Linked DNA regions of Mus musculus. The protein of the gene in region 2 interacts with the protein of the main gene of each other region in a pairwise test. Links are inferred from orthologs where the notes say so. Each region holds a gene or a part of one and is shown on either strand. Other genes may lie near its edges.

Region 1 (2,486 bases), on a different chromosome or scaffold from region 2:
AGAGCCAGACCCTAAATATGGATGGCTGGATAATAGATAAACACTCCTTAGGGGCTGGGAATGCCCTGGTCAGAGAGATGGGGTCAATAAGGCACTGTATGTTTGAGTGTAATTAGATGGCCCCCGGTCAAAAAGTTTCTCAATCCAGCTGCCTCATTCTAGTGACTGGAGACCAGAGGCTTGTACAAGTGCAGAGCTTGGGGTAGAGCTAGGATGCTAACCCCAAACTCCTAGCACTGACCAGAACATGGTTCCTGGGCCCAGTATCAGCCAAGCTCTTGAGTGAGGACCTGAGGTACATACTCTTCAGAACTCCCTGCTCAGGCCTTTTTTTTTTTTTTTTTTTTTTCTTCCTCCTGAGACAGGGTTTCTCTGTGTAGCCCTGGCTGTCCTTGAACTCTGTAGATCAGGCTGGCCTCGAACTCAGAAATCCACCTGCCTCTGTCTCCCCTGAGTGCTGGGATTAAAGGTGTGCGCCACCACTGCCCACTGCTCAGGCTGATTCTGAAGAATGACCTTGGCTCTGAAACCTCAGCCTGACTGGAGAGGACCCCTTGTGTGGAACTCACCTGCCCCTCTCGCAGGCCAGCCCCTTCCCGGGCTGAGGTTACTCACCCACCTCAGCCAGGACTCCTTCTTTCTCCCTTTATTGTCCTTCACATCATAGTTCCTTTAAGCAGAACGGTCATCCCTAGGCCCCCGGGGCTGCTTAAGCTATGGGAGGGGGAAGGGGGCCCCCACATGGCCCTTCCCTGAGGGTCTTCAGAAGGTATAGGCTCCCACAAAGACCGTGAGTCTCAGTACAGAGCTGGCCCGGTAGCTCATAAGGGAATTCATGGTGACCATCTCCAGGTCCAGCACGTACTCCCGGGGTCCCGTCACTGGCCTGGCGAGGACCAGCATGGCGCTGACATTGTTGATTTGCTGCAGGGTACAGTGGACAGTAGAACATAGAGATGGTGTTAGCCTAGGAGCCAGGACCCTCCCCCAGCATCAGCCGGCTTCCCGTGGCCTGAAGTCAGGAAAGTCTGACAAGGCCCCTGCTCAAGTCCTTCCCTGGCTCTAACCTGTAGACCTTTTTCTCCCTCAGTATCTGAGACCCTGCCACTTGCTCTCCTCGGCAACTCCTTCCTGCCCCCTAGTCGCCTCGACTTTCCCTCCATCATGACCTCCTGATGACTCAAAGTTTGGGGATAATGGGACTTTGGTGCCCGAGAGGCGTCCCACTTCCCTCTAGAGTACTCAGTTCTCGCTCTGACACTGATGCTGAGCAAGAACTGAGGGCCTAAGAATAGAGGAATGTTCTGCCATGGAGCTGGGAGGTCAGCCCCAAAGCGATTTTGAAAGAAGTTTTGATGCCAAACATCTCAGTGCCTAAGGCAGCTTAAGGACCCACGTGCAAGAGCCCTCACACCTGCGCCAGCATCCCTACTGCCTTCCCTTTGCCAGCAGACTGGAGTCTCTGATCCCAGCTCTGCAGAAACTACATTTCTTGTTTTATGTATAAGGAAGTCAAAGCCAGGCAGGAGAAAGCAGTACTGGGAGTAAGACCCCACTAACCGACTGTTCCTTAGAACTGCCTGTAGCGTGCTTACTAGGAGACAACTCTGACTTCTGACACGGCCCCTGCTTCCTAGGACAGGGCTTTGGGAGCAGAGGCAGGGCAGCTCCCACTTACATGACTTCAGACCTCCTATTTTAGATTACTTGAGTCAGTTGAGTGTGGGTAAAGAAGCACCTTACCCTAATGTAGAAGTCCCCCTGTGTGTTTCCAGAACGGATCTGAAAGGCATTGTAGGCACCAGGGTAGACAGAGGTTGCCTGGATCTGAAACACGTCAGCAGGCACACTTCGCTCTGAGGTGATGCTCATGTAGCGGTGCACAATGGATGAAGGCTGCTCTCGACAAAGGGGATTGGAGGCAGGGCAGAGGCAGCGGCTAGAGACCCCAAGATGGGACAGGAATGAGGGCTGGGCCCATTTCCCAAATACCCACCTCCTAAAGAGGAAAGCCCGAGCATAAAAGACCAATGAGACATTATGAGTCCTCACCAACCCGATTAAACCAGTAGGCCCCACAGACCTCTGGAGTTACCACAGCAAACTGCCATCAGGTTGACTCACTTGTCTGACACTTGGACATAGGGCTCCACACAACGGTTGGTGTCCACACAGCGGTAACCCCCATGGAAGTTGACACAGGTTTGGGCCTCAGAACATTGGTGTGCACCTGTTTCACACTCGTCAATATCTGTGCCAAGGGAGGTGGAGTTGGACTCTAGGACTCACAGTAAGCTCCCAGCCGCTCAACTCCTGCCCACCCAAGCACCTGTACCTTGGCAGAGCCTTGTAGCCAGCAGCTGGTAGCCTTGTGGGCAGTGACAGGAGAATCGGCCTGGCTCGTTGACACAGCGGTACTGGCAGAGGTAACTGGAGTAGCCGCACTCATCGATATCTGAGGGAGGGCGGGGATGAGGACCCTGGGC
Region 2 (3,753 bases):
AACTCAGTGTGATATTTCAGGGACATCAGAACATTGTGCGACATGCAGAAGACTAGTCACGAATCACACAAAATATACATTCATTGTGCCATCCATCACATTAACAATTAGCTGGAAATACACTGGATCCAGCCATGATACAAGACAGTGTGGAAGGAAAGGGTGACTGAAAGAATGAATACCTTTGGGTTACAAATGATCCAGCATGATTTTTAAATGCAGGGTGGCCAGAGAAGCAGGAAGAATTGGTTAGAGTTTGGGAAGACCTGGCACAGGCAAAGTGCTTGGCAGGCCTTCTTAACTCTGAAAGAACCAATTGAGGCCAACTTCTGAGGCATCTGACTCTGTTTGAATGAAAGAGGTTTTCTTCTTTCGCCCATAATCACACATGAACTGTACCAGTTTTGAGAATTTGTCCACCCTGTTTGATTTAGTGACCTACATATTTCTATAAAATGTGTATAAAGATAAATCTCTGACGGGAAAGCATTTACAACCAGCAAACTCACACACATGAAACCAGCTAAGTTAGGGGGTGAATTAATTGTGTAAACACAGTGCATCTCTTCTTCATGAGTCTTTGGACACTCTCTCTCCTCTATGTCCTACTTAAGGGCTAGGTGGAGAAGAACAATACATAGATAAAAGGAGAGATGCCTCCTTCCTGCAAATGTCTGATGGCAAAGGGAACTAACTGTTCTCCAGCCGACATCTAAAAGGAATCATAGGTTGTGGGGAGAAAAAAATCTCACAACAGTGAAGGAAAGGATGTTGGGAGCCATCAGCAATTGATGTGGACACCCGATGTGGATGAAGGAGTTAACTTCCAACCAAGGCTCCAGAATTCTCTGGAAATACCTTATCTTGGCCAGGAGCTCCCCAGATGGGACGAGAAAGGAAGAGAGAGTCTGTAAAGAAAGGAAGATAAGCTAAGAATGTGCTTTGGGTAAGAAATCCCAGCCCAGGGAGAAGCCTGGGCTGCAGAGTTGGGCTGGAGTAGCCTCAGTGGGAGGTAGTCAGAGTGTCTGAGGTAGACGATGCCGGAGAAGGGGCACTGGGCGAGGGGCTAGATTTCTCAGATGATTCTTCCGTTTTCTCATCGCTGCCAGGAGGAGTGGCAGGGGAGATGGGCAGGAGCCCCTCCTTCTCACGCTTCTTCTGCTTCATGCGGCGATTCTGGAACCAGATCTTCACCTGGGTCTCATTGAGCTGTAGGGACGCGGCAATCTCCACCCTGCGCGCTCGTGTAAGGTACTTGTTGAAGTGGAACTCCTTCTCCAGCTCTGTGAGCTGCTTGGTGGTGAAATTGGTGCGCACTGCGTTGGGTTGACCCACGTAGCCGTACTCTCCAACTTTCCCTAGGGTAGGGGAGGAAGAGAGAAAAGATTAAAAAAAAAATCTTAAACCTTTATCCAGATTGCCCCAAGCTTGAGGCAATATTCGGTTAACTACTCAGCGAGCACAAACCCTATCGGGAAGCGCCAGTGACGATGTGTAAGCAGTGTTAACCTGAAGTCAACCATTAGTGTGATCAGGCTCGTGATTAATGGAGCCTTGTAGATATTAACAGGACATCACCATCACCACCATCACCACCATCACCACCTCCCACTCCCCGCACACTATCTAACTATAGACCATTTAAACCTCAGCCCCTGTGAAACGCTTTTGCCTCTGCACACCTGGGCACCCTACACCACTCACTACAACTCTAGATGACATTAGACATAAACAAGAACCAATCTTTTAAAAATCATTCATTTTCCTAGGAAACTAGGTGTGCCAGCCCCTTTCAAAAATCGAACAGCATTTGTCTGTCAGCCGGCAGGACTTACCTGTTTTGGGAGGGTTTCTTTTAACTTTCATCCAGTCAAAGGTCTGCGCTGGAGAAGACGTCTCTGAAGCAGGGGAACGACAGGCTTCTTGGTGGCTGGCGTGGAGAGGGGATAAGGAGTTATTATACGTGGCCAGGGCCAGAGTCTGCTGCTCTTGTCCATATGAGTGGTGAATGTACTGGGGCGAGCCCACTGTGCCCCCAGCATAACCCTGGTGGTGGTGGTGATGCTGGACCATGGGAGTCGAGAGGTTTCCAGAGTAAACAGCGGGAGCGCACGGGGGGTACCCACCACTTACGTCTGCTTCCTGATTTAATCCATAGGGGCCATAAGGCGCACTGAAGTTCTGCGCGCCATAGCTTGGACCACAACTCGAGTGGGAATAAGAAATCCCAAGGTTTCCAGAAGTCTGGTAAGTAGCCGTCTGGGGGTGGTGATGGTGGTGGTGGTGGTGGTGGTGGTGGGGCGAGCTGATCTGCACCCCCCTGCCCACTAGGAAGCGGTCGTCGCCGCCGCAGCTGTTGGCACTGACCGCGCAGGATTGGAAAGTTGTAATCCCATGGTCAGAGGGGTAAGCTCGCGCCGAGCAGGTCCCAGAGTCGCCACTGCCAAGGATGGGGTATTCCAGAAAGGAGTTCATTCTTGCATTGTCCATCTGTCACTGAGTGATTGGATCCTGCGAAGCCCTGGGTGACCGTGCCAACTTTCTCACTTCCTCCATAGGACCAGAGAAGAAAAATGATATGAATGTACAGTGCGCAAGAGGCGGGGCGGGCAGGCGGAGGGCTCGAGGGGAGGACACGTGACTCTACCAGCCAATGGCTGAGCCGCCTGCGAAAGTTTACCGGCTGCGGCCGTGATGGATCACCGTTTCAGTGGCATTTAAATCCCCGGCGCTCCTCAGTGTAGGTGACGCGCGCTCGCCCCCCCAGGCAGCCCGGGCCGCGGCGGTAGCAGCGGCCGCTCCCGGAGCTGACTTGGAGCACTGGGACCAAAGGGAGTCGAGACTGCCTTCTGCGCGCGCCCGGCTTTGCGCGCCTCCGCCACCAGATGTGGGGGGATGGGAGGCCCCCTCCGCGGCCCCTTCCCCACCCAGCCCAGAAAGCTGAACTGGCAAGAGGTGAGAGGGGATGAGGCCTCCTGGCTCTCTTGTGGCGGGCATCTTGTGGGCCGAAAATCTCTGCGTGGTCGCAAGGACCCTGGCGGAGCTGGGAGCACGCGGGGTGGGAAGGGTGGGAATCCAACAGACACCACGCCCTCAGCTCGGGGCGGCCGCCACTACCCAACCCCTGCAAGAGACCTGAGCCCGGAATCCCGGCGCCTAGGGCGAGGTTGCGTCACTGGCTCGCCAGCCTCGGAATGTAGAGGGACGTGCGCAGAGGATTGACTGGGAGGAACCATGGTGAATGTGCTGGGGACCAAAGCAAGAAAAGAAACTTCTGTCCTCATCCAAAGGGTCTTAGAGCCCTCTTCCCTGATTCCTGCCGGCCAATAGCATGGCAATGGGAGCTTCTGTAATTCGACCCCAGGGTCCCGGGATTCGGGGGTGGGGGTGGGGGTGGGGGGGGCTACGAACCCAGCTCTCTGGGAAAGGCCGGGTGTCCACTCTCTTCTCTGCCCTCTCTCCTTCTCTGTCGCTTTGCTCTTGGTAGCCCTGCAAAATCGGGGCAACTCTGCTACTGGAGTTTAAGGAGTAGAAGGCAAAGGAGATTGTTGACGCCAGCAGACGTGGCTGACTGGCGTGAGGGCCGAGCCTGAGCTGCAGGCCATCTGCCAACTCTTAGAGACCCAGGAGCATGCTCACTCTAGGGTAGGCCTCAGAAGGGCAGATAACAGGCAACTCCTAAAAAGTATGCAGACCTCCCCCGTCGAGTTTCTCTCTTCCAGGAGAGGCAAGTTAGGAGTGGAAGAGCCCCCC

The links. The genes of interacting proteins can lie anywhere in the genome.
Region 1: the proteins of Hoxa1 (region 2) and Efemp2 interact in a two-hybrid assay, tested with the Homo sapiens proteins (2 studies listed by BioGRID and IntAct). The link is inferred for Mus musculus from reciprocal best matches to the Homo sapiens genes HOXA1 and EFEMP2.

Annotation. Positions count from the first base shown.
Region 1 is NC_000085.6:5,479,999-5,482,484, reverse strand, and holds the end of Efemp2 (EGF-containing fibulin-like extracellular matrix protein 2 isoform 1 precursor), read right to left. Parts: intron 2,456-2,486; coding exon 2,336-2,455; intron 2,252-2,335; coding exon 2,125-2,251; intron 1,940-2,124; coding exon 1,744-1,939; intron 925-1,743; coding exon 763-924; 3' UTR 631-762; downstream 1-630. UniProt on the Homo sapiens protein: Plays a crucial role in elastic fiber formation in tissue, and in the formation of ultrastructural connections between elastic laminae and smooth muscle cells in the aorta, therefore participates in terminal differentiation and maturation of smooth muscle cell (SMC) and in the mechanical properties and wall integrity maintenance of the aorta.
Region 2 is NC_000072.6:52,155,732-52,159,484, forward strand, and holds the start of Hoxa1 (homeobox protein Hox-A1), read right to left. Parts: upstream 2,587-3,753; 5' UTR 2,491-2,586; coding exon 1,836-2,490; intron 1,359-1,835; coding exon 1,003-1,358; 3' UTR 1-1,002. UniProt on the Homo sapiens protein: Sequence-specific transcription factor. Regulates multiple developmental processes including brainstem, inner and outer ear, abducens nerve and cardiovascular development and morphogenesis as well as cognition and behavior.